Cricetulus griseus: one gene and its partner. The protein of the gene in region 2 binds, or shares a complex with, the protein of the main gene of each other region. Links are inferred from orthologs where the notes say so. Each region holds a gene or a part of one and is shown on either strand. Other genes may lie near its edges.

What was found.
Region 1: Arpc2 (region 2) and Arpc5 share a complex: the UniProt entries of both Homo sapiens proteins name them as parts of the arp2/3 complex. The link is inferred for Cricetulus griseus from reciprocal best matches to the Homo sapiens genes ARPC2 and ARPC5.

The regions. Positions count from the first base shown.
Region 1 is NC_048598.1:38,854,124-38,870,368, forward strand, and holds the end of Arpc5 (actin-related protein 2/3 complex subunit 5), read right to left. Parts: intron 14,409-16,245; coding exon 14,232-14,408; intron 11,447-14,231; coding exon 11,384-11,446; 3' UTR 10,094-11,383; downstream 1-10,093. UniProt on the Homo sapiens protein: Component of the Arp2/3 complex, a multiprotein complex that mediates actin polymerization upon stimulation by nucleation-promoting factor (NPF).
Region 2 is NC_048595.1:427,494,423-427,510,841, reverse strand, and holds the end of Arpc2 (actin-related protein 2/3 complex subunit 2), read right to left. Parts: intron 15,331-16,419; coding exon 15,144-15,330; intron 14,084-15,143; coding exon 13,990-14,083; intron 9,619-13,989; coding exon 9,492-9,618; intron 8,306-9,491; coding exon 8,205-8,305; intron 7,631-8,204; coding exon 7,530-7,630; intron 4,817-7,529; coding exon 4,792-4,816; 3' UTR 4,363-4,791; downstream 1-4,362. UniProt on the Homo sapiens protein: Actin-binding component of the Arp2/3 complex, a multiprotein complex that mediates actin polymerization upon stimulation by nucleation-promoting factor (NPF).

The DNA of each region.
Region 1 (16,245 bases), on a different chromosome or scaffold from region 2:
GTTTCACGCATGCGCAGAGTCCTCACACGGGGTCAGCCAGGTGTATGTCCTAACAGCCATGCATTCTCTGCTATTACGAATAGTTAGCCCTTTAGAGACATAAGCCAAAATATTACTTCCTTTGCTTTTGGTTATGTCATTTTTTTCCCCACAGCAACAGAAAAGTAACTAATACAAGGCTTTGGGACTTAAAGTTCACATTTAGAGTCTTTGTCCTCTAGTTCCGCCATGATAGTTCTCTAGGACTAATGACAGCTTCCCACTTCTCCACAGGATTGTGAAGAAACAGCATATTCACATTTATTTATTTGTGTGTGTGTGTGTGTGTGTGTGTGTGTGTGTAGCTCAGAATACAACTAATGGGACTTGATTGTCTCCTTCCATCACACAGGTGGGTCCTGGGGATGGAACTCAGGTCATCAGGCTTGGTGGCAAGTACTTTTGCCTACTGAATTATCTCAGTGACCTCCATATGCACATTAAAAAGTAATGTTGGGGCTGGGGAGATGGCTCAGTGGAGAAGGGTGCTTGCTGTGTAAGAATGAGAACCTTATTCCAAATCTCCAGAATCTACATTAAAAGCCAAATGTGGTTGAATGCTTCTTTAGCCGCAGTTTTGGGAGTGAGGACAGAGACAGGAGCATCAAAGGGATAAGATGCTGAGTGATAGAGTAGGCAGCCAATGTCTTCCTCTTGCACATGGGCAGGAGTGTGTGCACTTGCATACCCATGTGAGCATTCTCCACACACGTATACCACTCAGGTGCATATGAGTCTGTGTGTGTGTGTGTGTGTGTGTGTGTGTGTGTGTGTGAGAGAGAGAGAGAGAGAGAGAGAGAGAGAGAGAGAGAGAGATCCCGTGGCACACACGCATGTTGTCAATCTTTTCATTGTTTTATTTCATTTATTTATTTATTTTGAGACAGGATCTCTCTGTGTATACTTGGCTGTCCTGTAACTTGCTATGTAGAACATACTGGCCTCCAACTCACAGAGATCCTCCTGCCTCTGCCTTCTAAGTGCTGGGATATTTATCCATTTATTAAAGCAGCATCTTATGTAACCCATGATTGCCTTGAACTTGCTAAGCAGCTAAGAATGACTTTGAACTTCTGGCTCTCCTCTCAAATGCTGGGATTACCAGCATGTGACATCATGCCCTGCTTAACACTTGTATTTTATTGTTATCTGGATGTTTTCCTGTTTTCTAATACCCCACCAAATGTACCCCTGGCTATTAGCATTGGGTGTGCCATGCTGAGCTCTGGGACAACACCAGTTGCTCACTTGGTACAGGCTGGAATCAGGGCAGAAGCTCTGCAGGTCTCTGTTCCTTCAATGCCCCAAAGAAAGGTGGATAAACTGTGAGGGTCCTACGTCCTGTTGTCCTTCCCTCCTTCTTTTTCTCTATATTCCCATCTTCCTGCCACCATCACTTTCTCCCTCCGCCCTCACTTTGGAAATATAATTTACATATACTAAGACACACATAGCACAGCAGAGGTCCATCCCTGATGTAATGCTCATAAAGGTGAGACTGGAAAGGAATCTAAACGGTCACTGACAAATGAGGTGTAGGACATGGCAGAGAAACGGAAAGATGGACAGATGCTGATCAGCAGAGATGGCCAGGCTACTGCACTAAAGTGAAAACCTAAAGAGTTTTTGGATAACCTTTTGTTTGATTTTATGTAACCCTGGCTCTCCTAGAACTTGATATATTGACCATGCTGGCCTCAAACTCACAGAGATCCCCATGCCTCAGCCTCCTGCGTGCTGGATTAAAGACATGTGTCACCCAGTCTGGCTTCAGATAACCTTCTGTAAAAACAATAATAGGACTCTAGCATAGGTATCAAAAAGAGCGAGGGGAGAAAAGCTCCTCCAGGCAAAGCATCACTACCTGAGGCCTCTCTACCTTCCCTGAAGGCTTAGATTCCAACTTCAGCCTCAGGGCATGAGAAGCCTGTCATACAAAGAGCATTAGTTTTTAATGATTAAGTTACCATGCCTCAGGGTTCAGCACATACAAGTGCACAGGAGATCAATTTGTTTTCCTTATATTATTTTATTATCTATTGTCTAACTACTAACACACACACACATACACACACACACACACACACACACACACACACACACACACACACACACACTCGCGCTTGAGGGAGACAGAGACACAGACAGACAGACAGACAGACAGGGACAGGGACAGATACAGAGACTTAGAGGCTTAGGACAGCATGTTTATTTTCACTCAGGAGCCTGGCATGGCTAAGGTGGATCCTCTGGCTAAAGGATCCTTGAAGCTAAAAACACAGAATTTGGTACAAATGCGTATGAAAGTGTCAGAGTAAAATGTACTACATTGTATAGCCAATTGTGGTAGTTTGAATGTAATTAGTCTTCATAATCTCATGAGGAGTGGCATTATTAGGAGGTGTGGCTTTGTTGGAGTGGTTATGAACTTATTGGAGGAAGTGTGTCACTGTGGGGGCGGGCTTTGAGGTTTCCTATGCTCAGGGTACTGCCCAGTATCTCAGTCAACTTCCTGTTGACTGCAAGCCAAGATGTAGCTAGGTCCACGTCTGCCTGCATGTTGCCATGTTCCTCACCGTGATGACAATGGACTGAACCTCTGAAGCTGTAAGTAACCACCCCAATTAAATGCTTTCTTTATAAGAGTTGTCAAGGGCTGGGTGGTGGTGGTGCACACCTTTAATTCCAGCATGAATGAGGCAGAGACAGGCATATCTCTGTGAGTTCAAGATCAGCCTGGTCTACAGAGTAAATTTCAAGACAGGCTTCAAAGCTACAGAGAAACTCTGTCTTGAAAAACCAAAAAAAAAAAAAAAAAAAAAAAAAACCAAAAAAAACAAACAAACAAAAAAAAGAGTTGCCATGGTCATGGTGTCTCTTGCCATCAATAAAAACCCTAAGACACTGACATATGCCACTAATATTAAAAAAAAAAAAAGACACAGTCAGTGGGAGTGGGAGAGATAGATGCCTTTACCATACTGTTAACATTGGTTATCTGGGCACGGACAGAAGGCCAGGCCTTTCATTAGAGCGTTAACATTTTTATTTGAATTGGATAATGATACAGTAGTTTCAAAACTAGAAAAATTTTATAGTCACTGAGTTGTACCCCCAGAAACCTCAAGGCTATGCTAGCAGCAGGTTTCGTTGGTTCTAAAGTGTAGAGAAACAGTAAAATGGAATGGGATGGAAAACGGAGGTCTCTAAGAAGTAGAGGCATCTTCCTTGCCACACACAGGGTGTTGCATGGAGATGACAGGCAGTTAATGATCCCTGGAACCCCTGGCTCCTAGTACTCACACTGTATGTTTCCTTCCTTTTGACTATGGGCTGGACACGTGCTTTGCTTCGAAGAGAGAGATCACAGCAGAAGGGCAGGGATGCCACTTCCAAGATTAGCTGACAGGAGACCACACTTTCTATGCCATATTGGGAGCTACACTGTTGAGAGGTCTGTGTGGCCCAGAGGACAGCCTGTGGGCCACAGTCAAAAGGTACGGATTACAAGTCCTCAGTGCTGCAGCCTATGGACACTGCTGTTCCTGGGGCTTGAGAAAAGGTAGCTCCCACATCCATTCTGTGTTGTGGCCTCAAGCATCCGTTGGCCAGAGGACTCAGCTAATGTCTGACTCCTGGGAGCTAAACAAACATGTTGTTTTAGGCCTCTAAATCTCGTGTGTGTGAGATGTCTCAGAGGTGAAGAGCACTGGCTGCTCTTCCAGAGGTCCTGGTTTCAAGTCTCAGCAACCACATGGTGGTTTACAATCATCTATAATGAGATCTGGTGCCCTTTTCTGGCATGCAGGCATAGTATAAATTAGGCAGAATACTGTACACAATATAGAAGTAAATCGTAAAAAAAAAAAAAAAAAGTAGCATGTGTGTTGCAATCTGTCCCTGAGACCCACAAAGCCATCTCTGTTTGCCATGCTCACCTTCTGCAGAGTCCCTCTGAGTACTCCTGAGCTCTCCTGAGTCACTCTCAGGAAGAAACTTTGCCTATATATTTCCTGTCCCAACAACAGCTGTAATGTGCCATTCCTAAATGGCGGCATCCCAAGGGCAGATGCTTTCCATCTGGTTAGAGTCAACAATGGGTTTAAAATATATCCAAGTTAAGGGACTCTCTTGCTTTTGAATGGAGAACTAAGAAAACTTGGAACTTGTCTCCAAACACTTAGTTGCATCATAGTGCCAGTTAATTAATGAACAGGATTCTGGCTAATTATATGACTTCTGATACCACAATGTTCCCTCTGCCTTGTATTCTTTTTCTGTTCTTTTTCTTTTTGGCAAACTTTCTGTCTTCAAGACCCAGTGGGATGGTTATATATTCAGATTTTTCTTAACAATCACTGTTGGAGAAATAATTTTTGCCAACTGTTACTCTATGTTCTTTTATCATTGCTTCATTTCCTACATGATTTTGGTGCTGCTTATGTGTGTGTTTTTTAGACTCTGCAAGGCAAAGAGCATATCTTAAGTTCTCTATAATCCCTGGCAGGTGTATATTAGCATTAGAGAAACTGCTTTCTTTTTGTAAAATACGTGGCAGCTGGTGCTGTGGTTAGCTGTGTTCCTTAGAAAAGCAAACAGCAACAAGAGACAGAGAGAGAGAGAGAGAGAGGGAGGGAGAGAGAGAGAGAGAGAGAGAGAGAGAGAGAGAGAGAGAGAGAGAAGCAAACAACAAACAGACAACAAAAACCCTTCAAGCCTTCAGAGAAGCAACCAAACTGCTGGGCTTGGTGACATAGGCTGCAATCCTCCCTATTCATAAGGCTGAGGCAATAGGATTTCTAAATCAAGTTGGTGAGTCCCTGTGTCAAAATACAAACAAGAGCTGGGTAGATCAGTGATGGAGCATGTGTGAGGCTCCAGGTCCAATCTGAAAAAAATAAAAACAGAGAAGCAATAACCAAATCTATAAGGCATTATCCAGGACTTCTCTCACTAGTCACCCACTGAGGACTGAACCTGGAGCTTCCCTCATGGGAGGCGAGTGTTCTGTTTGTGAGCTCTGTCCTCTACTCCTTGTGTGGACTGTGGGATTTCATGTCTTGCATTTACTTTTTTTTAGTAATAGACAAAGGTTTTATAAGGGTTAAGCTGTCTCTGCACTTTCTGTGTAGAGAATGGCCTTGAACTTCTGATGCTTCTGCCTCTACCTCTCAAGTGCTGGGATTACAGACATGTGTCACATTTCTGGATTTTTTTAAATTTTTTTTAAATTTTATTTATTTATTATGTATACAACATTCTGCTTGTATGTATATCTGCACACCAGAAGAGGGCACCAGATCTCATAGCGGATGGTTGTGAGCCACCATGTGGTTGCTGGGAATTGAACTCAGGACCTCTGGAAGAGCAGCCAATGCTCTTAACCTCTGAACCATCTCTCCAACCCACATTTCTGTTTTTTACATGGGGCTTCTATATGGAGGCAAACTAATTATATTAGGATCTTTGAATTTGAAAAAGAAATTGCTGGCAAGAAAAATACAAACTTTAAAATTAATCACACATTTAATGAAAACAAGCTTAGATATGTATAAAATGCTAGTTATCTATATAGGCACAAGGAAGACTTTATAGGTATTTACTTGTGAGTGCTTACACTCTTGTTAAAGAATTATATTCTCCGTCAAGAGGACTGCTAGGGAAGGTGGGAAAATTACCTCTACTGGAAAAAAAACTATTAGAAAACAAATGAGTAAAAAGGGAGATTATACAACTATTTGTTAAAAAAGACACTGACCTTTAGCTCAGGCATCAGGTAAAGAAACTCATTAGAGTTATATCTGGAATCTTGATTGGGCTTTTGGGATAAAACTAAATGAAGCATATTGTTTAGCATCTTTGTCTGTTTATGGCACTGTGTTGGCACCATTAGAAGAAAAAATGAAATCTACCCAGGAAAGGTGATACAGCGTCTGTGACTTCAGAGGAGTCCCAGGGGTCGGTAGAAAGTTCAAAGTTCAGTAACCTACAGGGCAGGAACTAAACAGAGCAGGAAGGTCAGGAGCTTTTTAAAAGGATGGACTGGATCAGGTGTGCCATGAACTACTCAGTCTGCTTCATGCTATGAGAACTTATGGAACTGTTCCCGAGAAGTACGAGGTCCATAGAGAGAGCATTTGTGTTCATTATACTAAAGTAGGAAAGGAAGCCCGTAAATGGGTCAGCAGTGTGAAGCAGCACCACCCGCAGGCAGAGCACACTGGCTGAACACATCTGCCCTGAGGCCACACACACTGGCCCTTGATGGCCCTGGAGGTTTCCTACTTCCTCCCAGAGATGCAGGGCTGAGGTGAGGAGGGAGAAGGGAAGAGAGGCTGAGGAAGTGAACACCTTTCTAAATGTTAAAAGGCATTGGTTTAACATAGTATGTCTCCATTCTTGATCCTTTTGGTGTTTTTTTTTTTTTTTAATATTTTGCCTGTAAGAAGTGTAAATAAACCAAATTCTGGTTATGACCAATAATATCTTGGGTTTGGCTAATGACATGAGATTGCTGCCCTGGTTCTTGATAAATGAAAACATAACAAAACTGAAATAGCAGTTTATTAGTTAAAATCCATCATCTATGCAAACAGAACAAAGGCAATATCAAGAGGGTTAGTGGCAGATGCCTGTAAATGTAACTCCACCAGGGAAAAGTGTCTGAATTTACACTCCATGTGGTTTTCTTTTGCTACTTAAAAAAAAAAAAAATCTACACAGCTCTTTTCCTAGGGGTATTAAAATCATACTGAGAGAAAACTACTGAGCTCTTGGTGTTAAGCGGGTCTCTCATTGTAAGACATTTCCAAACCTTTCTTCTGGCTTCTCCATCTTGTCTGTAAAAGGCTCCTGGCATGATCTCACAAGTATCCAAGCACCAATTTGGGGATTCTAGAGAAAACCCCAGTCTTCATCTCTCCTAGAAACAGCTTTCTTCCCCACACAGACTACTCAGCTTGACAACTGCAGCTGCAGGTGTAGTAAGGTGGCCCCATGTTAGAGATTGATATATTTTCTGAGCTTCAGGTCTGGAGGCACGTCTTCAGGTCTTCAGCTTCTCAGGATGGGCCAGGCTTTTCTTTTAAATCCTCCTGTAACTGAGATTCTGGCTTTGAAAATTTAAAGCCACACTACCACAAACCAGGAATGTCTTCAATGCCCTCCTTTATTTTACAGTTGGCATTATATTAATATAAAACCAGTGTTAACTTTGAAACAATAGATGTTTGCTGGACCACGTATGTCTCAGTAACAACACACAAACACAACAGTAGGAGACAGAATTGACCATTCAGAAATATCAAGAATAAAAAGAGTAAAAACCACCTCCCCCTAATTTTATTTATCCGTGTTTACATGTGCACGTGTGTGGGTATACATACCTGTGAATGCAGACCACTGACTCCCTAAACTGGAGTTATAGGTGTTCTGTAGGGCTTCTGGCTTGGTCCTGAGCACTTTAATCCCAATTCTAGGCCTCAGGACTGTGGAATAAGCCCCAGCCACAGAGCTTCCTATCCATCACAGCAAGAATAATTTATTTTATTTTTTATTTTTTTGTTTTTTTGAGACAGGGTTTCTCTGTATTGCTTTGGAGCCTATCCTAGAACTTGCTCTGTAGACCAGGCTGCCCTTAAACTCAGAGATCCGCCTGCCTCTGCCTCCTGATTAAAGGTGTGTGCCACCAATGCAAGAATAATTTTTAATGAACAGCTCTTCATTGATAATTTAAGATGCTTTTTTTTGGGGGGGGTGGTTCGAGACAGGGTTTCTCTGTGTAGCTTTGGAGCTTATCCTGGTACTCGCTCTGGAGACCAGGCTGGCCTCGAACTCACAGAGATCCACCTGCCTCTGCCTCCCCAGTGCTGGGATTAAAGGCGTGCAGCACCAACGCCCGGCTTCAGATGCCTTTCTTATAAAATTTAATTTTTCCATTCTTTTTGACTGTTATAAAATGCAAAAGACTAAATGACCATATATCTATTTGGCTAAAACCACACCAAAAAACACCTCCTGTCATTCCTTCCTGTTTCAAATTTCCCGAGACACTCCTTATGCAAGTGCAATCTGTTTAGTGACTTTCATGGTCTAGAATTTTATTTTATTGAAATGTTAAAACTACAAGAGTGAACTAACTCTCTTAAACATTTTCATTCTTCTGTTCATGTCACCTGGACCCCCTGTCCTTCCCATCCTTGCAAAACTTAGTTTGGATTGATTTGACTCATTGGCCTTTGGTCCACTTGTTTTTTTATTATTATTTATTTACTTATTGATTATGTATACAGCCTTTTGCCTGCATGTATTCCTGCCCACCAGAAGAGGGCACCAGATCTCATTATAGATGGTTGTAAACCACCACGTGGTTGCTGGGAATTGAACTCAGGACCTCTGGAAGAGCAGCCAGTGCTCTTAAGCTCTGAGCCATCTCTCCAGCCCCCACTTGGTTTTTGTTGTTCACCCAACAACAACTGCATTCATAGTCACATGCTAAGTGGCAGGACATCAGTTTTCAAGTACCCAAGACTTACTTCTCAATGCAGGAGAAAGCAACAACGCCCAAACTGCCTTCGTCTGAAACATCTGGATGTGATTAATCTGCATTACTTGCAGTTTTCACCTGTGCATCAATGCATTTCCTGAGGTATTCAGCATGCTCACCCACCACCATTTCCTAAACGGTGCTGCTACCTAGAAATTGTGTTTGTATTTGCTGCGTCTCCCTTTTGGTGTGTGGGGATTAAGATGCAGAACATGCCAACTTCCATCACTACGCTACATGGCCAGCCCTTGGTTTTCTAAGACAGGCTCTTGCCAGCTAGCTCAGACAGGCTCATGATCTGCTTGCCTCAGCCTCGACTGTTGAGACTTCTCCCTGCCTCTGTTCCCTTTTGGAAAAAGAAAAAAAGGTGACAGCAAGCCTGGTATGGGCACACCTGTCATCCCGGGTGGAGGCTGAGGCAGGATTGCTGAGTCTGAGGCCAGTCTGAACTAAAAATCAAGATCCATTTCTCAAAAACAAAGCAGGGTCGCACCAAATCACTCCTAACCACTGTGATTAAAGATGAGCAACAGGCAGAGAGCTGCTTCTGTGGAGCGGGAAGATGGTTGAGGGTAAAGGGCTGCTGTGACCAGCATACCTATTCAGGGGCTGGCACAAAGTCAGACACTGCGGTGTCTGTAATCTCAGCACTTTGGAGGTGGCGACAGGAAGATCCCCAGGGGTTTGTTGGCCAGTCAGTCAAGCCACTGGTAAGCTCCAAGTTCAGTGACTCAAAAAATAAAGTGGAAAAGTGAGTGAAGAAGAATTGTCAGTCCTCTGACCTCCACATACACTGGCTGTCACACAGGCAACTGAGAGCCACTTGTGTGCAAAGTACTGGCCAGCATTTATCTACTTTACTATCCACCAGGGGTGGTGCGCTAGTTACTGTCACCTAGACAGAAACACTTGTAGAGCCCACTGTCCTCAGTTGGCACCCCCTCATTCAATCCTATGCTGTATTGTTGCCCATTTTTACTATTTCTACTTGGTAGAGCTGACAGGCTGACAGATTTTCCCATATCCATTCCAGTGAATATAAAACACGGATTACAGCATTAGAACCCCCCCCCCCCCCCAACACACACACCAGGAGTTAGGTCACAGAAACAGTGTGAGCATGCTCCTAAGTGGTTGTGCTATGCCTGCTTGGTGGCTTCCAATGCGCATTGCTTAGCTTGAGTCAAGCAGGAATTTAGCCAGGTGAGGCCGAGAGCAGAGCTGCTGAGAAGACAGGTGTGAGAAGTAGGTCTGAGGTCTACAAGGGAGAGCTTAGAAGCTGGAGTGACTTTTGCAGCTCCAAGAATTTGGTCCATTTGGTCTCTGACATGTTCTGCTGGCACCTCAGTCACACAGCAGCCTCAGCAGTGCTCTGACATCATTAGTGGCTCTCCTCTGCACCTGTTTCTATCAAGTGACTTTGTACATCCTCCCCTAAGACGGCAGCAGCACCAAACACCCTGCTCCTTAACTAACTGGAGATTTACAAGTATTCAACCAAGAAAAAGAAATTATTCAACACTGACATTTTATTTTCTGAAGTTTATCATAATTTTACAAAACAGAACAAAACAAAAAGCAGGTATCAAAAACAGCAGTTTACAGAATTTCTGCACTGGTTCTCACCTCAGTCAGTGACTCTGGAACTGGCATCTTATGCACAGACTAACCAGGCTGATTCCCTCTTGGCCATGTGCATTCATTCACGTGATTGTTTTGGAACTACTTCATAATAATAACTTTTTACAAGCACCGGTCATTTTTTTGAGAACCAATTTGGTTTGTCCAACAAAGTAAACACATTTTATTTTTTTTCACTGTGTGACATTTTCTTTCTTAAAAAAACACTGAGCTGAAACACAGAATATGTATTTGTTTGGATCAGAACCAAATTTTCTGAGATCCCCATTACCCGAAGAACACTGAAGACGTCATTGGGCATATGAAATATTACAGTGAATACTTGCGTAAATGTCTAAGGCAGCTACCTTATTTCGGAAGAAAGCAGTATTTCATTTAGAGGCTGCTAGAGTTTGAATTACATCAGTTTCAATGTCCTTTCTCTGACTTGGGGTATTTTCCCCAGACAGCCTTATTATCAGAAGGAAAATGTGATGTTTGTGCCAAAGAGGCGCTTGTATTTTGCAAATACATTTATATAGAGCAAGACTCCTTGCTCTGGACCCTGGGTCACCACAAAGAGATTGAGGCCATGATAACTGGATGCTAACAGGAAGTAGCACACTTACATTCACACCATTATCTGGAAGCAAGCAGAAATAAAGCTGGAAATCGGTAGTGGGGCTCACCCACTACTTGCTCTGGAAACACATTTTGCTCAAATAAGGGAAGAGTGGTCCAGTTTTGCAATGTTAATAGCTGCCAGTCTCTCATTTTTAAAAATAAAGATCACTTCCTGACTAGCAATGAGTTAGGAAACTGGCCTCAAATTTGATCAGATCTCTCAGTATTGGTTAAAAATAAAGTAAAACCCTTAAACCAGCAAAAGAGTAAAAATTGCACAATCAAACTTGAATATAAATTACAGAATGGTATACATATTATTGACATGGTTATGAAAGGATCAAACACCCCCCTTGAAACAAAATTTTCTCCACATTATCGAAATTTTCATTAAGGAAACTGATATGTAATTTTCTTCTTTATAAGTATGAAAAAGGAAGCAAGGCAAAGCTGAGAGAAACAGATGCTACCCACAGGGCAGCGGTGCCATTTGGTTGTTTTGGTCTTTGTACCAGCAACTCCCACTTCTGTGAGTGATGTCCAGTTCCAGCTGGACTACACAGTTTTTCTTGCAGTCAACACACGAACAATGGACCCTACCCCTCCAGCAGCAAGTGCCTAAAACAAACCAAACACACAGACAGGGTAATAAAGGGTCAAGTCTCAGATTAGGCAGAATACTGAAATCATTCTAAGCTTCTACTATGTCCCAGGCAGTGCTCAACATGAGACAAATAGTGGTCTTATTATTAGGACTAGGGCATAACAGAAAACAAAGACCAAGGGTTCCTGCCCCCTGTGAACTTACTTCCAAATATACACTGGTCTCTATTCTAGCACACTGTGTCTAAATAATGTTTAAAGATGTCTGCAGCACAATGTTCCTGACTAAAACAGGTGTTCAAATATAAATTCAGGACATTCTCCATCTCCCACCCATATCATGGTCAGGAAAGAACCTTAAGTTGGGACAAGTCACCCCAACTTCCTCTTAGTTTGCAGATTTTCCTCCTAAGGTAAGAAGGTATTACTTAAGAGCTGATGATCTCTAACTTTGAACTTATGAACTTGCATAATTGAGTCATGATTAAATATCAGCAAATTGGAAATTCTGGCTTACTTTTATTGAAAAAATATTTTGAGTACCATTGTGTATTGTGAGGATATGAAAGTAAATAAACATCCTTTGGTCTACTATGAGACAGTTATACAAACAACATTTCGGTATCATGTATGAAGTAGTGTGAGTTATCTTAGGGTGCTACAAAAACAGAGAAAGGGCATATACCTAACCTGACAGCAAAAGATGTTAGGGAAACTTGACAGATTGATACCTGAAAACAGTGTGGAGGTGGGGGGTAGGGTGTATTCAGGGAAAAGCTGAAGCCTAAGAGAAACTGGTACAGGCATCAATGACTGATGAGGATACCTTTGGATTTTACAGATAATGTACCAGTGGCTGGGTAGAGAACAGACTAGTGCAAGGTGAGACTGGTGGCAAGACAGTTAGGATGCTATAGCAGCTATCTTGAGATGCTGGGAAGGGTGCATTAGAGACCTGTACCATCGATGGTCCTGGACCTGTGAGAAAGTCAACTCTCGAGAGGAGACTGGGAAGAAACAGACTTAACACATGGACCACATTCTCACCTACAAGAGCTTTTCCTTCTAGCATTTTTTTTGAGGATTACATGAGTTAATACATTTATAAATGTCTCAGAAGAATGTTTGGACTGTAACAAATTCCCAATCAATGTCACTGTGACCCTGAGGCTATCCTGGACTGCTGTCGGTTGGGCTTTAGAGGTAGGTTCTTCAGCTGCAAACTGAAGACAGAAAGACATGTGCATACCTCAGAGCTACTGAGAAAGAAATGAAATATAAACAAGTGCAGAATCGATCAAACAAAGAGTCCCAAGTGAAATGATCATACAAATTACTGCACGAGTTCCCTTCAGTGAAAGGGTGCTCTGTAATTAGGACGGACACTACACTGGAACACTGTGAGGAATGCCATTCATAAATATTAGCTCTTCTGTAGTGTATGTAAGGTAAAGGGACTCAACTGAAGCCTTTAGTTTTATCTTATATGTGTGTTTTTACTCAGACTTGAGAATGGTTTTAAAAAGTGACTTTGGGGGGCTTGAAGAGATGGCTCACAACGTTCAAAGTGCATCTATGCAAGCCTGGCATGCTGAGCTGGATCTCCACAAAAAGTTGTAGTTAGCATCTGGAATTCCAGCATCTCTATGGGGAGATGTGGCCAGAAGTTCCTAGGCCAGCTACATTTGAAGCATACAGCACAGTAGAAGAAACAAAGAGGAACCCTGCCCGAACAAGGTGGAAGGAGAGGATCCCCTGGAGTTCTGAGAATGTTAGAGAATATGTAGCCCTTTATCTGTTGGATTTTTAATGCCATTGTTTATATTTTTATCATTATAAGAGCTAGGAATGAAAGATTACCTAAAATTACACTTGCTTTGTGTGCATGTGTGTGTGTGTGTATACGTGTACGTACAATGTATGTGTGGAGGTAGCCGTTCCTTCTATCCACCACGTGGGTCCCAGGGAGTGAACTCAGGTTGACAGGCTTGGTGGCAGGAAATTTTACCCACTGAGTCAGCTGGTTCATCTATCTATTGACTTGTTACATAGAACTAACACTAATTTCTTTCCTCTCCGAGACACAGACTCTCAATATAGCATGTTCACTATATAGACCAGTTTGGTCTGGAATGTCTCTCTCCAGAGTGCAGGATTATAGGCATGCACTACCATGCATGGCCAATAACAATTCCTGAAAACCAAACAGCAAAAATACAGTGTTGGGAATCAAACCTTGGGAATGTCAGGCAAGCTCTCTAACCTTTCTCCATGGTCGTTGGCAACGTCTAGTAACTTTCCACTCCTTTGAGCTTGCCTATTTCATATTATTTCACATAAGGAGAAATACCAAGTATTCTTTTGTGTCTGGTTTCATTTAGTACAACATCTTCTAGGTTCATCAATATTGTAGCAAGTATAAAAACTCCATCCCTTTTCATGGATGAATAACTTTCTACCGTTTGTATGTACCATACATTAAGCCTTTCATTTTAGGTTGTTTTTTTTAATTGGTGTAAAAGAAGTCTTGATTTCCATGATTTTCTTTTGAAATTTTTCTTGGGATTCATACCTCAAGTACATAATCAGTTATGTACTAAACATATGCAAATAAATATGCAATGCAAATCAGAATCACTTAAGACCAAGGCTGGTAAGCAAATATGAACTTTTCATTCTCATGCATTTTATTTGCACTAATAAAGATATAGAATCAGGTCTTGTTGTTTTCCAGGTGATAAGAGGTCTTATTCTCTACTACAAAGGAACCAGCTATAAGGACCTGTAGTTTGTAACTTACCTTTTCATGCCACTGTAGTAACATTGCACTGCTATTGTCAGAGGGGCTCTCAAAGCCTTTATAAATATACTTCATTAGGAGGTCCACACCATTCTTATCCAGAGACTGAACAGCCTTTTCAATATCATTAGCTTTAAAAGAGATGAGCACTTTCAAGACAATGCTGCCTGCCCGGTCCTGAGGGTAAATACATAACAAAACATTCAGACACATGTATGCTAGGAACACAATTTTAGAAAGGCCACACTGGAGTGAAATTTGAAGGGTGATTTGGAGGATGTGAAAGAAAACTCTTTGGGAATATGGCCAGTGTTTAGATAAGAACAAGTGCTGTTAGCATGGATTTAAGAGTGTTCAGAATGATCGAAAGACCTGATACGACAGAGCTGAGTGGTGGGAGAAGCAGCAAGGAAGTGAGAGAACAGGACATGAAGACAGAGCACGGGAGGAAGCCTGCAGGCCACACTGCAATGGCTCTGGCTTTCTCTCTAAAACAACAGAGTTTTAAGAGCAGAGACACAATCTGATTCTCATTTTAAGACTATTTTGGCATCTCTGCTGAGAACAGCAATGACAGCAGGAGTAAGATAGAAGCAGGGTGCCCATTAGGGGCAATTCCAAGAACACACGGTGGTTCTGGCTGCCATGACAGGAGAGCTGGAAAGAAGGGAACCCATTCTGCTCACTTGTTTTTGAGACAGGGTCTCACTGTGTAGCCTGGAACTCACTATGTAGACCAGGCTGGCCTTGAACTCACAGAGATCTGCCTGCCTATGCCTCCTGAGTGCTAGGATTAAAGGGCTAGAACACAGTCTTGATAGTACAGAAGGTAGAAGTGGGGATTTACTAATAGACTGATGGGAAAATTTAACAATTTAGTATATCATTTAAAAACTTAAAAAACGCCCAACAAAAGAAGGAAACCGATTTATACAATTCTATTCGGTACTATCTTTCAAAAGTGGTATTTTCTTAAAAGCTCCTGTTTAAAACCATACAAAACTTTTTTAAGTTTCCTAGCTAAGGACATTAGTTCTATCTATGCTCATCTCTAAACTTTCCCTCTGGTAAAGCCTGTTCCAGAAGCAAAGGAATCTCTTTACACATCGTCTAAGCAGAGAGAACACTTAATCAACTCGTTCTACAATTCATTTTTCCTTCTGTTCAGCACACAGTGGTCTCCTCATCATTGCTACTGGCAGGATTTTACAAAACATTTCTACTATCAATGTCATCTTCAGTTTAAAGACTGCAATTTCTCTATTTAGAAAAATACCTTTGTATCTAAAGCTATAAACGCCGCCCCCCCAAAGCTGTCATTGAAAAAAAGAAAAAAAAAGAAAAAAGAAAAAACATTAGGGGTAAAGGGGGAATTTTAATGATGTTCTAACAATTTTTAAAAAGCAAAGAAAGCTTCCCCCCATACAAAGTTTTGTTGCCTTGATAATCACTAATCACTATGCATTTACCTATACTACAATTAGAGTTCTTGAGGTCCTGAGATGTAGACCTGCAGACCACAGGGCTTTGGTGAGCCTGCATTTTAAACAATAAACAACAAAGCAGTTCTATAAGAATCGGTAGAGGACTGACGCAGGGAAGGAAACCACAGAGCTCTTAGGGATTTCACAGTACTTTGTATATTAAAGCCTTAAAAACAATGCTATTTTTGATCTAGCATTTATCTTCCGGGAATTTTAGTGACAGAAATAGTTAAGATTTATCTAAGATTATTCATTTTAGCAGGACAAACTAGGCAATCTAATATACAATAAAAGGGATTGGGTATATATAGAATGTTACATAATGGTGCATTGCAGCTAAAATGCTTTAGAAATAGATTTTTTTTTAAAATTTATTTGACATGCATTGGTGTGAAGGTGTCAGATCATATGGAGCTGGAGTTACAGACAGTTGTGAGCTGCCATGTAGGTGCTGGGAATTGAACCTGAGTCCTCTGGAAGTTAGTGCTCTGAAGCCCTGAGCCATCTCTCCAGCCCCTAGAAATAATCTT
Region 2 (16,419 bases):
ACATAAACCTGATGGCGTAATACAGGGAACCAACCATAGTTGTTTTCTCCCAATGAACTGTTTTCTAAATATTTTTACCCACAGGCTGTTAAGCGCTCAGCTGGGGTCAAAGCAGTTCATTTTTGTAGAGGATGGTGGTTAATGGAGAGGCTTGTGTCAAGAGACTGATGGATGCCCAGCCTTAAATTGGACATGTACACTAATCCCTGCCTCCTTTCTGTGGCTAAGGCCTGGGAGACATAATAAAAGATGAGGTAGTATGAATGAAAATGGCCCCCACAGGCTCACAGAGAGTGGTATTATTTGAAAGTATTGGGACAAGTGGCCTGGCTGGAGTAAGTGTGGCCTAACTGGGGGAAGTGTGTCATGGGGTTCAGCTTTGAGGTTGTAGAAGACCAGGCCAAGCCCAGTGGCTCACTCTCTCTTCCTGATGCCTGGGGATCCAGATAGAGAACTCTCAGCTACCTCTCCAGCACCAAGCTTTCTGCCATGACAATAATGGATTAAAACTCTGAACTGTAAGCCAGCCCCAATTAAATGTTTTCCTTTAAAGACTTGCTGTGATCATGGTGTCTCTTCAAAGCAAAGAAACCCTAAGACAGAAGTGAAGGCAAAAAGAATTCAAGACCTGGAGCCAGACGTTGGTGTCACATGCCTTTAATCCCAGCACTCGGGAGGCAGATCTCTGTGAGTTCAAAGCCACCCTGAGAGCGAGTTCCAGGACAGGCTCCATAGCAATACAGAGAAACCCTGTCTTCAAAACAAACAAACAAACAAAACAAACAAAAAAAAGAAGATGGGGAAAGAGTATCATGAAACACTGCCACCCAGGTCTGACACTGCTATTAGAACCACAGACTCAGCGGCTTTGGATACCTGCATAAGACCTCTCTCCAACTTCCCGTGGACCCTCATCCTTCCTTAAGGAACTGATAATGACTGCTAGTAGTTGCTGGGAGAGGGTACTGTTTTAATAGTCTAGCCACTAGGAGACTAAGTAGGAAAAAATAGGGTTTAGGGGGAAAGGAAGGTATACCAAGGAGTAGTGGGGTATGTGTGTGTGTGAAAATAATCTTCATTGGGAGCATGGGGGTAGGGGAGAGGGACCTGGGAGAAAGAGAGAAGAACAGGAGGGGAGAGGAGAGGAGGAAATGGGGGAACAGGAAGGTTGAGCTGGGGGAAGAATATAGGAGAGCAGGGTGAGAGATACCATAATAGAGGGAGCCATTACAGGTTCGAGGAGAGATCTGGCACTAGGGAGATTTCCAAGGATGACACCAACTGGCAATCTAAACAATAGTGGAGAGGCTACCCTAAATGCCCTTCTCCTATGATGAGATTGATGACTACCGTATATGCCATCCTAGAGCCCTCATCCAGTGGCTGATGGAAGCAGAGGCAGACATCCACAGCTAAACACTGAACTGAACTCTGGAACCCAGTTGCAGAGAGGGAGGAGTGAAGAGCAAAGAAGTCAAGACTGGGCTGGTGTGCCGGGTGGTGGTGGCACACGCCTTTAGTCCCAGCACTCGGGAGGCAGAGGCAGGCAGATCTCTGTGAGTTCGAGACCAGCCTGGTCTACAAGAGCTAGTTCAAGAGCTAGTTCCAGGATAGGCTCCAAAGCCACAGAGAAACCCAGTCTCAAAAAACCAAAAAAGACTGGGCTGGTGAAACCCACAGAAACAGCTGACCTGAACAAAGGAGAGCACATGGACCCCAGACTGATGTCTGGGAGGCCAGAATGGGACTGATCCAGACCCCTGACTGATGTCAGTGAGGAGGCCTTGGAACTCTATGGGGCCTCTGGTAGTAGATCAGTATTTATCTCTGGTGTAAGAAAGGACTTTGAAGTCCGTCCCATGTGGAGGGATGCTCTCTCAGCGTGGACACATGGGGGAGGGCCTAGGCCCTGCCCAGGAAGATATGACAGACTCTGGAAATCTCCCATGGAGGGCATTACCCTCCCTGGGGAGCAGAGGGGGGATGGGGTGGCATGTTGGTGGGGGGTGTGGGGGAGGAGGGAGGGAGCAGGAATTGACATGTGAAGTAGGCTTGTTTCTAATTTGAACTAATAAAAAATAATTAAGAAAAAAAGCAAGCTGTCACTACTGCCAAGAATGCATAGAGAGATCCAGAGTTCTTGTTCTAAAATCAGCAAAAAGGCAAATGTTAGCCGGAGTTGGGTAGCGCAAAACTGTCATCCCAGAACTTGAAGGCACATGCAGGAAGACTGCTAGAAGTTTGAGACCAGCCTGGGCAGAGTGATGCTTTGTCAAAAACTAAACCAAACCAAAACAAAACAAAAAAAATGGAATGAAAATTAAAGTAGTTGGTCATGGTGGTGCATACCTGTATTCCCAGCACTTTGGAGGCAGAGGCCAGCCTGGGTTAGATAACTGGATCCTGTCTCAAAAACAGAAAGGACAAAAACCCTACCAAAACTACCTCTGAAATTCTCTTAAATAAAATACCTCTCAAGATACACTCCCCCCCTCCCCCTTTTCTAACCTCCCAGAAGGAGACCAGGAGAACCTACGGGTCCCTGGAACCCCATTTCAATTAGGTTAGTCTAATATTGGAACAACTTGCAGTATTTTAAATTTGACAATGGATGGAATAAATAGTTCTCTAACCCTGGTCTGGTGCACACTTATGAAAAAAAAATCCCCAATTGATACTATGTGTGATACAGTGACTGCTCTGATTGCAGTACTCTGCTTTTAAAAACAAATGCTGGTGTTCAGAAAAAATCCTAGTGAGAAAAATACACAGAAACACACGACAAAGGCACAAACAAGTGTTAAATAAAATTGATTAAATGTGAAGAAAGTGGACACATAAAATATGTCATTTTACTGGTGTGATACTGGGCTACAATCACTCAAGTTGTCACCACTGAGAAGGTGACAGGACCTTGCTTTATTATCTCTAACATGCATGCAAACAAATGTATCATTATCTGAAAAACAAATTTGTAGAAAATAAAAGTGCTGTCACATACAGTCAGGTGGCAACACAATTCACTATGACTGTCAAACTAGTTTGAAACACAATGCCTGAAATGGAGACAAAAAAAGAAAAAAAAAAACAAAACAAAAAACAGCCTTCAAATCATTCTGAATACCCTCAAATTCTCAGGACAAGACCTTACAAAACAAATTTTATTTTTGGCACCAATATCTTGCTAGGGGACAGCACACTTTGCTAGGTTCCCAGGTATCTATCTATTCCGCAGGCACCTCCTGTGAGCTTTGTATAGTACTTCCAATCCGCTGGAAGGTGAGGGAGTGTGGCCTCACAGCCAGTATACATTAGTTCCACACTGGAATACCCATCAAGGACCTGAGAACCCCATTACAGGAAATGCCCATTAATTACGATTGAAGAACAAGCAGTTTGAATTCCAGCGCTCACTCAGAAGCAGAGGCAGTGGATCTCTCAGTGAGGGCAGCTGGACTACACAGTGAGATCCTATTTCAAAACCAACCAACCCCCACATAAATCCCAAATCTCTCATACACACACAGCCTAGACAGAAAGCCTTCCTTCCTTCCCTCCTTCCATCCATCCATCCCTTTCTTTTTCTGAGAGGATGTCCCACATGGCCCAGATTGGTCTTAATGCTTGTATACCTGAGAATGACCTTTAACTTCTGGTCCTCCTGCCTTCATCCTCCAAGTGCTAAGATTAAAAGGTGTATGCCATAGCAGATGGAGGGGTGGCTTAGTGGTTGGCACTTGTTGCTTCTGTAGAGGTTGGACCCAGAGAGCAGTTCAAACCCACCTGTAACTCCAAAGGATACAATACCCATTTCCTTACCTGGTGCATACACATATGTGTGTGTACATGCAAAACATTTATGCACATAAAAATATCCAAGCCTAGTTTATGTGGGGCTGGTGATTGAACCAAGGGGTTCGTGAAAGGTTAGGCAAGCATTCTATCAACTGAAGTACATTCCTAGCCCCAGAAAACCTTTTAATTTGCCTGTCACTCTAAGGGAGCTTCCTGGCTACTCAGCTGGGTAGTGTCAACAACCACGCTTTACAATGTGAGAAGCATGTTCAAACAAACAACAAAACAAAGGTGGCTTATTCCTAAAATTCCAGAACTCAGAAGGCTCAGCATGAAGATTGCTGGAGAGTTTGAAGCCAACATGGCTATAAAGTGAAACCAATAAAATGAAACACAAACAAACGAGCTCCCACCACCCCACTTACAATTTACAAACCAGCCCTTCCTTCCCATAGAGAAGAGAGGCTCCAAACTCTGAGGGCTTGCTGGTTGCTGGTTCAAGGGCAGTGCAGGTCCACCCTTTTCTCTTTTGGACTCACAGTCCAAAAAACCCAGCAAATGCTCTAGTAAGATAGAAAGATTTTCTTTATTAATGACCCCAACCGTATTTCTTTAGATACAGGAGTTTTGAACTCAAATACTTAGAAGAAAACAAGTTAAGACTGCATTATCTGCAACTCATTACCAGTAACATATTGCAAAGCAAACAGCTTGGAAAAGGGTGAAAAGGAAGGGAAGTGAGGGAGGGGGAAAAATAAAAGAAGGGAATTAAGTTGATCGAGTGGAATTTTTTTTCTTTTTTTAAATTCTTGGGAACTATGAAGTCCTTGCAAGCACAGCTCGTTTCTGCAGGTTATTTGCCAAACTCGTACAAAATGGAACCCAAACGGAGAATCCCTTAAGAACCTGGAGAGGTGCAACATGAAGGGCTACGATTATCCAGTAGCAAGCGGTCCAGCCTTCCATCAACAGCGCTTCCTCCTCAGTTCCCAAGCGTTAGCGGGATGAAAATGTCTTCCCCCTTTGAAAACAGAGACAGTGTGAAGGCTTGTCCCAGATAGCCTCTCCTTCTATCCTACATTTGACCTGGGGTGGAATGCCCAAGGGACACTAGACAACGAGGGAAGGGAGAGTCTTCAAGCAAAGGTGCTGGAGCCACAGGTGTCAGTCAAATCCAGCTGTAAAAGAATAGCTTTGCTACCTTTCTTCTGACTCAATACTAAGTAGCACTATGCCCAGCCCTTCAGGACACTGGATGTTCCCAGCAGATGGGAAAATTGTCTGCAATTTTTTTTAAAAGATGATGTCTCAGTGTGTTCCTCAGATGGCCTGGAACTAGCTATGTACACTAGACCTGCCTCTGCCTCCTGAGTGCCAGGTAAAAGCATGTGCCACCATGCCCACTTTCTCTAGTTTTCAGACAGCTTAGATAAACCTGAATTTCTGCTCACCGAGGCTCCTTCTACCCAGCTGATCCCATTTAGATAACAATCCCTTAACCTTTCAAGAGGAGGTAGGAAATTCAAAGGCATCTTAAAAACATTAGCCAGGTGTGGTACACACTTTATCTTTGAAAAGCTAAAGACATTTCTGCTGTCATGTTGTAAGTAGACTCTGGCTCATAGAACACTTGGCTGGTTCTGGGTTTTTGAGCTGTGGTGTCCTCTTCTGCACAGTAAATCCCCATAGGGGTTACTAGACCCCCAAAGAACCTGCAAGTGGTTCCTACCCAAGGGTATTTGGTAAAGTAGCCCAGAATGAGAACTGAGGACTATAGAAGAGTAAAAACCGCTCTCCATGTTTCCTGCTTATCCTGAGACAAGCAGAGTACTGCAGAATGCTGACTCTACAGGCAGCTCTAGTTCAGGACCATACCTATAGCAATAGCAGGCCCAAATTATTTTAATCTGTCCACATTTAGCAGGATAGAGTCTTTTGAACAACTAAATTTACTCCTGTGAAGGACTCATCTTTCCTCAGGTCCCCCATCAGGGCACTGATCAATTCCTGTCTTTGTCCAATTTGGCAGTAACCACCAGGAACACGTGCTGGCCACAGAACAGACTGATGAAGGGACTGTTACCAGGGTGAAGACAGGTGATGCAAACAGTTCCAGGACTATTTTAATATCCCACTTTTTGACCTTTCTGTCTGGTTTTATTTTTCTCTGCTTACTTTGTATGTGTGTCTGTGTAAAGGCCAGAAGTCAGCACTGGGTGTTTTCCCTCAATGGGTCAATTGGTTTTCTTTCTTTTTTTTTATGGAGACAAGGTCCCACTCCATAGCTCTGGATGGCCTGGACCTTGCTATTTAAACCGGGCTGGCCTTGAGATCACTGAGATCATACCTCTGCCTTCCAAGTGAATCCTGGGATTAAAGATGTGTGCCACCGTGCCTGACTCTTCATCTTATTTTTTGAAACAGGTTTCTCACTGAACCTGGAACTCAGTGACTGCTGAGACTGGCTGGCTAGAGAGCTCCTACAATTCACCTGTCTCTGAGCCCTCTGTACTAAGGTTACAGGAATGTATCACCATGCCTAGTTAACATGGGTGATGGGGATCCCAGCTCAAGTTCTTAAGTTAGCACAGTGGGTGCTTCACCAACTAAGCCATCTCCCAGCCCACCTGCTTGTTTTTGGAGGTAAGATTTTGCTAACGTTACCCAGGTCGGCCTCAAACTCCTGGGCTCAACCTATCTTTTTGCTTCAGTCCCCAACAGCCTCAGTAGCTAGGACCACAGATTCATGCCACAGGCTGGTGGTTCTGACATCCAGAGCAAGTTTCTCTTTCTATCCCAGGTCACACAAGGGGCACTTTTGTAAAGACAAGGTGGGAAAGGAGAAACTGCAGGCACTAGGATACAGGGTCTTAAAAGGACAGAAAAAAAACAAGTGCCTCCCTGGACATAACCATACTCTCCTACCTCGTCTACAGCTTTGCACTTTTTAGATATGCTATGCAGCTGCCACAGCATGACATGACATCCAATTCAATCTCTCTACAGAGGTCAGATGGAATACCAACCTTTAGGCTGTAGGTGGCAGCATTGACAGTCAGACTTCCCACCAAGCACACAGATGCTTGATGTTCCTGTGACTGAAAAGTCCTTGCCTACTTCTCAGGACTCAGTGGAACGCTCAATGTCAATGGAGTTGATACAGCAGCACATGCCAGGAGCTGAAGGTGCTCTGAACGCCTGCCACCCACACTAGAGTGAACGCTCTAGGTCTCCCACCACGCTGGCCCCTTGAGCAGAGTCACATTGCTTACTGCTCTGCTTGTCATCTTTGTTCCTGACCCAGGCAGCCTGTGCCCTGTACACCTTTCCTGCCGAGAGCAGAGCAGCAGAAAGAACAGAGGTATTGCCTCCAGGCCTCTTCAGATAACTATGTCCTCAAGTGATTGACTGACTCCACCTCTCCAGGAACACAGAAGGGACCTCTTTAAATTCAAGCCCACAAAGAATAGATTCTTAGTTTAAGGGAAAGGGGGAGGAGGGGTTTCCTTTTCTTTCCCTGTCATTCTTGTAGCTCATAAAGACTGTGGAATGGAGAAACTCTTCCTGATGCCCTCAGAAGGGAAGCCCTTTTCATTACACTTTCACTCTGGTAGCTTTAGGCTTGGCCCTGTTGGCCTCTTTAGTAGCCTGTGTGCAGGCATCAAATCAGGACCAGCAGCTCCTTCTTCTGAACTGAGGTGGGAAGGGGGTGGGGGTGGAGTCCTCCTACTTACGTGATTGTTTTCATTTCTTTTTTCTCGGCATCTGGGCGTGCACGGTTGAGCACCTTAAGGAAGTCAGATGTTTTTGCTCGCATTCGTGTATGAATATAGGCCTAAGAGCAAACACAGGAGGAACTGAAACAGGCCCATGTTCTAGAGAAATAGCTTTGCTTTCATTGGGATGGAGCCATGGAGTATGTTAAGGAGCATGTAAGGGAGGGTGGGACCGTCAGGCAGCAATACCGGAGATACAGACTCACCCCTCTACTACAGGCAGGAAGAGGGGAAGGGGAGAGGGTCATTTCTCTCTCCTACTGTGGGGCCAAACTGGTATGAGGAACATGCTAGGCAAGTGTTCTACGACCGGCCACACCAAGAGATACCAAGAAATGATTTCTTCAGGCTTCTAGAACATTTTTTTTTTTTTTTTAGATAGAGTTTCTCTCTGTAGCTTTTGAGCCTGTCCTGGACCTAGCTCTGTAGACCAGACTGGCCTTGAACTCACAGAGATCCACCTGACTCTGCCTCCCAAGGACTAGGATTAAAGGTTTGTGCCACCACCTCCAGCACAGTAAGTACTCTTAATGGCTGAGCTCTCTCCTCTCCCCCCCCTTCTTCCCAGCCCCATGTGCCAAGTGTCTACTGAGAGTTAATCAACAGGCTGGTAGAGATGCTGGTGCCCCTCACCTTAGAGCACTTAATGTGGTAGTGCAGATAGTCCCGGAACGTGTGGATCAGGTTGATGGTGTTGTCTCGAGCAGTGGCATTGGTATGGCGAGGGAAGAGCACTAAGGCAGGAGAAACAAACAAAGCATTAGCAGTGGTGTGTGCACTACCATCATAGACAACACAATCATGGGAGTGCCACAGTGAAGCTCCAGGCACAAAACACAGGTCTGACTCTGGGCACTCATTCCAAATCTTGATTCTATACTGAACTCTAGATTCCAGCTTTGTTTAGGACAAAGCTGCTAGTTTTGGGTCCTTGGTGCTAAAGCATAGGCTGTCATGTAAAACTAGGTTCCAAAGAATACTTATCTCCTGTGCATGAAAACCAAACATAAGGTAGGCTCAACAGGGTGGCTACTTTCAACCCAGAGGCTCAGACTGTTGTACTGCAGCAGACCTGCCTTTGGTCTCCAGTTCTTACCATACTTGTTTCACTAACACCAAGAGCCCTGTGCTGAAATGGCTAAAATGGTTCTCAGTTTATCCTGGCTTAAAGGGCGACAGGGGGGATGAAGAACATCAGGCCATGAAATGTGTTCTATTCCAAGTTTACCATGATTTATGCACATAAAGAAATGCTCTCAATGAAATTGACATGCCATCAACTGTAAGATACACCTCAACTTCAAGAATCATGTGGAAGGAAAATGTATTCACCAGCAACAAACACCTACACCTTTAGCTTAAAGGAGAATTGCAGGAGATGTTCTTGTAGCTTTGCAGCATGGAAATGAGCCGTCAGCTGCCATCATCAGGCAGCTCATAAAGCTGACACAAGTGAAGCTTGGTATCTTCAGTGGAAGAGAAGACTCAGCAAATCATGGCTGAGAGCAGGCATTGGAAGCAAGCATTGTAACATGACAGAGAACTCTATTCAGCGGCCAAGCAATGCTGACATGGCCATCCTGGAACCAGAGCTTACCTTTCTTACCATTTAAGAAAAACCAAAAGCAACAGAAAATGATTATTGCAGCTAAATAGCACCCAGCTTGCTTTGTAATCAGTTCCCTGTGACATTCCTATCACAGCTTTGAAAAGGCAACACAAACATGTTGGTATGCCTACTTCTGCCCTCTAAAAAAGTTGGCGAAGGCTGTCCAGATTTAAGCATTCTGTCATGTGAAAGAGGCAACTCCACTTGCTGATGGAAGGGCCTGGGATGCTCCGTGTAGTGCTGAGGACTGAACTCAGGGCCATGTGTGTCTAGGCAAGCACTCTATCACTGAACTACCTCTCCAGCCTCACCAAAGGTGATGTAGCCAATGTTGTCACCCACGGCAGCATCTGTGTCTTTCAGCTCTAGAGGAGGTTCCCTGTGACTAAAAAGGACCTGGGGGGCTGTGTGGCTGGCTCTTCGTCCTTCTTTGAATTCCTGTGGAGATACAGCAAGAGAAAAATTCATGATTCGAGTGGCACCTTACCCATACTATGTGCTCTGACCTTCGTAGTCCTTTGGACCAGAAAGTAACTAAAAATGAACAGTCAAATTCAACTACATGCCTGGTGGTGGTGGTGCTCACTTTTGATCCCAGTACTCAGTAGGCAGTAGGCAGATCTCTTAAGTTTGAGGCCACACTGGTCTACAAAGTGAGTTCCATGACAGTCAGGGCTAAACAGAAAAACTCTGTCTCGAAAAACCAAACCAAACCCCCAAAACCCACCTAAGCTACAGAGTGCCAGCTGCTTCCACTGCACTCTAGATTCAAAAGGGAGATGATAGAGCACTGAACAATCTCCATCCTCAGACTGTGACACAAAGCACTGCAGGACAAGCCCTTTCCCCTTTCTCTTATTTTGGACTAACATGGCAAAAGGATGTCAGTCAAGGCAGAGTGGGAAGACTGCCTCAGAAAACAAAACTTAAGATAAGCACTGCTGCTTACTACTCCCTTGTGTATACTGTGAAAAGGAGTTCTTTTTTAAGGAAATCGTTAGAGTTTCATGGTGACTAGTACCAGCCTTTAGCTAGAGTTTTAAATAAATTATGTGAACAATTTCCCACTGCTCCCTTGGTCCCACTTCTTTGCAGTTTCTTGCTTTCCTTCTACCCATGTCCCCTTGCCCCCACACCCCCACCCTGAGACAGGGCTTCATGTGGCTAGGCTGGTTTTAAACTTACTAAATAGATGAGAAGAACTTTTGGTTGTGAGTGTAGCCTTTAACGGCCGAGCCATTTCTCCAGCTAATGAGGACTTTTAACTCCCGATCATCGGGCCTCTACAACGTCAGTACACCCACACCTCATCTTCTATTTCCAGTTTCATGAATGCCATGCTTTTACTGGGTGTTGGGCCTTTGATGACACTGTTTAACATACTCTTCATCTATTACTATTTAGAATTCATCAATCAAAACTCTAAAGCAAATTTAACCCCTCCCTGGTGGCTAAAGATGATAGAATGAAAGAAACTGAGTTATCTTAGGAGGGTAGGGCAGAAAAATCAAGTTAGGCTAGCATGGGTTATGTAGAAAGACCTTCTCCTAACCCCTCCCCCTGTAAAAACAAACCCTAACAAATTCTAGTAAGCCAGGAATAGTGGCACATGCTCATAATCTTAGATTTTGGAAGGTGGGGGTAAAAAAAAAAAAAAAAATCAAGAGTTCAGGTCATCCTGAGCAGTTCAAGGCTAGCCCCAGTCTACAGGAGAGTCTGTCTCACAAAACCAAACCAAACACCCCCTCGCCCAAAATAAAAGCGCTCATGATCCTTAGCAAAAACACAGTGCTTATCAAACTATAAAAAAGGTCTAGAGGAGAAAAAAACAAAGCAAAACAACAACAAAACCAGACTATTCCTCCTATGCTTAATCCCCAGGCACCCATGCATTCCTATACAAAGAAATGAGTAAATATGACATCCTTCTCCTGGAGTCCCAGCAATGACAGCAACAGATGCAAGGCCTTGAATTTACTCCCTAGAAACCCGCCCCCCTTAAAAAAAAATAAATAAAAAAAGACTCAAATCCAATGGGTAGACTGAGTGGGTTTTCTGAAAAAGGGCAGCTGCATGAAGCTAAGGACGGTGGTCACACAGCCATATGATCAGAAGGGTGGCTGCTGTTGCTGCTCACACCTCTTCTAGAGTTAGCATCTAACACCTGGGGCAAGTGGCTGCTCTGGTAGCTACTATCCCTTCTTTGCAAGCATTTCTTCATTATCCATTAGGGTGTCTGTCTTCCCTGCCAGGCTGAGTTCCTTAGGTCAAAGCTCCTGCTTTTATTCCCTTTTCTCCTCTGTCCTTCAAAGACAGAATAGTCCTGCTGAGTAAAAGAAAACACCCTTGGCCCTGCTCATGCAGAACCACTGTAATGAGATCAAGAATTTAAGATCAGCCTGGCGTGGTGGTGTAGGCCTTTAATCCCAGCATCTAGGCAGAGGAGGGCAGATTCTCTGAGTTTGAGACCAGCCTGGTCTACATATAGAGTTCCAGGATAGCCAGGGCTACATAGTAAGACCCTGTCTCAAAAAACATCCATGAACAACAAAACCAACAAAAAACAAACAAAAAACGAAGAATTCAAAGTCATCCTTGGCTACATAAGATGAGTTCTCTTCCTCCTTCTCCCCATTCCTCAAGAGATTTAATCAACACTATTTCTGCAGTGGGAAATTGCCTTTAGACAACTTGATGTCTTTGCTTCTCCCTTGCTCTCTCTTGAAATAACAACAGCAATCAGCCCCACCAAACAGCCCCAGTCTTCATTATTAGCCTAGCCGTCACATAAAAACCAACCTGATTGTTAGGATGTCGGCTGAACACCAAGTACACTATTACTTTTTTTAAAAACATTTATTACATTTCATTCACTCTGTGAGTGTGAGCATCTGGTCTACTGCACATATATGTGGATTAGAGGACAACTTTAGGAAGTTAGTTATTTCCTGCCACCATGTAGGACCTTGGGATGGAACTCAAATCAGGCCATCGAGCTTGTGATTTTACCATGGCACTATTTCTTTCTTCCAACAAAGTACAATTTATCCTGGGGATAAACTGTGTATGATAAAGGTAGCATCTTAAATTAGCCTAGCCTAGATTTAGTCCACTTCTTAACTATTGCATTTAATTCCCATTAATTATGCAAACAGTATTATGGAATGTCTGTCTAGGGGCTTACCTTTAAGAGTCATATATGCATACCCTCTTTTTCTTCATGAAGTCCAGTACTATCAAATGCCAAAGTGTCAATATTCCACTTTTCACAAAGGGACTCCCAAACAAGAGTTATTGATCAGTCAGTCCCAAAAAAAGGCATTAATGAGGATGGCATTTTGACATTTTCCCTTGCTAGGTAGAAGGTCCATACATAAAGCCTCACTGTGGTAACCACAGCTTCTTTTAAGCCTCTTTTGGAAGGGGGGGGGTGGTGGTAGAGATTGTACTTTAAAATTTTTTTTTTTCTCTGAAAGAAAAAAAAATTGAGGCCTAGGCCATCTTGCAGCAATCCTCTTGCCTCAGGCTTCTAAGTGGTTGGATTAGACGCTGGGCAATAAGCCTGTCTGCTTCAGAATTAAAAACAAAACAAAATAAAATCCATCATTCTGCCAGAGAACAGGAAAATGTATTAAAGCTTTATATTGCAGTGTGAATGCTTATCCACTTCAGAAGGCAGCAGCCTGAGTATCTCCTGATCAATAAGCTCTCATGTCTGAGAGCCAGTGACTGGCCAGCAGGCAAAATGACACAGTCACAAGGGGTCTACAATATGCTGAGTCCCACTGCACCAGAATCCCAATGACAAAATGTTCTTCTAAATCCCATTACTCTTCCCAGCAGGAGGCAATCTACGGTGACTCATTCAAACTATGGCAGGGCTCTCCTGTCAGCCACAATTCCACCTACTGAATGTTATCTCCTACTTTGGAATTCATTATTCATCATTCTGAAGACATGGGACCTAATGCAAGCCAAGAACAGTCCTTGATACAAAAACTGAGTAAACATGAGATAAGGAAATGAGACCACACTTTAGATCAAGGACTCTGTCACAGGAAGGAAGGATAGTTAATATTCAGTCAAAATTAACTCTCCCTCTTGCCTTGTCCTGCAAAAGGCTAGAACCATCAAGAAGAAATAGTATATTCATATAAGTTGGTGGGGGGCCATGCTGGTTAGCTTTTGTCAACTCAACACAGACCTAGACATTTCTGAGAAGAGGGAACCTCAACTGAGGAACTGCCTCCATTAGACTGTCATGTGGGCATGTCTGTGGGGCATTTTCCTGATTAATGATTAATGTGAGGAGCCAGCTCACTGTATGTTGTGCCACCCTTGGGCAGGTGGTCCTGGGCTGTATAAGGAAGCAGGACAGGCAAGCCATGGGGAACAAGCCAGTAAGCAGCACCCCTCCATGGTCTCTGCTTTAGTTCCTGCTTTCAGGCTCTTGGGCTCCTGGACTCCTTCAGTGATGAACTGTGACCTTGAAGTCTAAGGTAAAATAAACCCTTTGGCCACAGTGTTTTATCATAGCAACAAAGAAACAAACTAAGACAGGGTTGTTCATCACAACTTCCAAGTTCCAACATTAACAGAACTTTGTCTTTCCTATGATATGGCCTACATGTATGTTATTCTGTTACCATGTTCCCAGGTACTGGGGATTGAACCACAAACCATGTACATATTAGGCAAATGCTCAACCACTGATCTATACAACCCTACCCCATATGTTGGCTAGGTATGCAGAGTGTAAAGATTTAACTTCCTGCAACACCATTTCCCTTGAAGATTTGTGCTCCATACCTGCATGAAGACCTTTCCGATGACCACATCGTCGTCATCCTTAAACACCGTGCTGAAGACTACTGTGACTCTGTCTTTTTTAGATTCAACATACCTGAGGGAAACAAACTCGGGCGTGTAAGTACAGCATCAGGAGATTCTGTCACTAACTATCTGCAAGAAGGGTAAAGTGCAGTCTCCAACTCAATAAAACAAAGGTGTGCCAGAGACTAGTACTTGCAGTCAAGAAAGTCAGGGTAGTAAATGCATTCCCAAGAAGGAAGTGGAATTAACAAAACTAGGTTTTTAAATCTTGTATATAAGGCATAACATTATTTTAAATTAGTAATTCTTAATAATGTCATTTAAAAAAAGTTTCTTTACATATGATAGGATCCATACATAGTACACATTTAAGAGCTGCAGTTACAGCATCTATGCTTGGTCTCTGGTGTCTGACTATCTAGGCCATTTTTAAATTTTTTCATGTGTTTATTTAATTTTATATGTACAGGTGTTTTGTCTGTATGTATAACTGTGCATGTGTGTGCTTTGTGTCCAAAGAGAAAGTCAGATGCCCTGGATTTGAGTCACAGACGACTATGAGTTGCCATGTGGGTTGATAACTGAACTCAGAGCCTCTGGAAAAGCAGACAGTACTCTGAAGGGCTGAGTCTCTCCCTAGCCCATGGGAAACTCCTTTAAGAAAACTCAGAAAAGTAATGCCTTGGACCTGCAGAGATGGCTCACTGGCTAAGGGTACTGGCTGCTCTTCCAGAGGACATGGGTTCAATTCCCATCCTACAAAGCAGCTCACAACCATAAAATACCAATACACATAAAATAATAAGAGTAGTGCCTAGGGTTGGAGAGATGGCTCAGAGGTTAAGAGCACTAACTACTCTTCCAGAGGTCCTGAGTTCAATTCCCAGCAACCACATGGTGGCTCACAACCATCTTTTATGAGATCTGGTGCCCTCTCCTGGTGTGCAGATATACATGGAAGAAGAACGTTGTATACATAATAAATAAAATCTTAAAAAAAAAAAAAAAAAAAAAAAGAGTAGTGCCTTAAGGACAGCACAGGGTTTCTTTTCATTTGGTTGATACTGTATCTCTCTCAGTCAGTGCTGTATGGAGGCCACCACCAGGCTGGAGCTGAAGTTCACACTTACATGGTCTCATCGTCCCGGTAATGGATGACCGCTCTGTTCTCTCCTTCCTTGCCCTCTTCTTGGAACTGAAAGTATTTCTCAAAGACAGAGGCAAAGCAATTTCGCTTCAACATGCCAGCCTGATGCACAATAGAATCCTTGGATGCAGGCAGATTTTCAAGGTCATATAGCAAAGAAACATTGTATCCTGATGGAAGAAAAAACAAACAAACCACCCATCAGTTAAATGAAAAAACAAACAAAAGCCAAACCAAACCTATCTCTTCCAAGTAAACAGGGTAGAGGCAATTTCCCATCTCTATCTACTCCATACCATAAAATGTAGGTACTTATAGCTAGTTAATAAATCCCAAGCAGTATCAAAGATGAACAGTTACAAATATGTAATGGGAAGAATAATCTGGAACTCTGATTAGAACTTTGGGGTCCTATAGACAGTTGTGAAGGGAGACGACATGACTCAAGGAGTACAAGTCACATATTTTCTCCCATGGTTTAATACACAGCCATATGGTCAGTAGGTGGAAGGTTTCTAGAAATAAAATCTGACCCCCACCACCACTGCAAATCCTTTGTAAGAGGGGCAAGGTAGAAATCTGCTTCTCACATACATACTTCCCCAACAGCGTCTATCTGAAAAACTATATTTCCAGGGTTTTCAGAATTCTATTTCATTTGACCCCATGCCTTTCTTTGAAGATATCAGGACAGATAAGCTTATCCTCATTTACAATGGAAAAGTGGTTCTGAGAAGCAGTACCTTGTTGAATACAGCATGACATATAGCTATGTAGCTCCATATTTTAAATTGAACAGAAGTGGGTCCAAATTCTCACCTCACTGTGTGACCTGAAAAACTGCCCAATGTCTACAAGGTCCTCATCTGTGGGGAAAAAGGTGTGAGGGGTCTGAGGTGGTGGTGGAAAATGTACTAGGTAGAGGGAAGAGATTATACTAGGCACAAGTATAGTAGTTAAGTTAGGCATGGTGGTGTAGGGCTACAATATCAGCACTTAAGAAAGAAATGGAGGTAGGTGTCTTGACTTCCAGGAAAGCCTGAGCTACATAACACAACTATCTCTAGAACATCCACAGAATTTATGAATAAGGTCATCAATAAGTGGGGCAGAACAGGGACTGGGGATCATGTCTACTAACCACTAAGCTACTGGCCCCTTCTGTGAATGCCAAGAACAGGGCTAATCAAGTCATTAATGGTACTCCAAAGTCTATACATGTTTTCTCAAGAATACTTTTAAACCACTGGGGATCATTT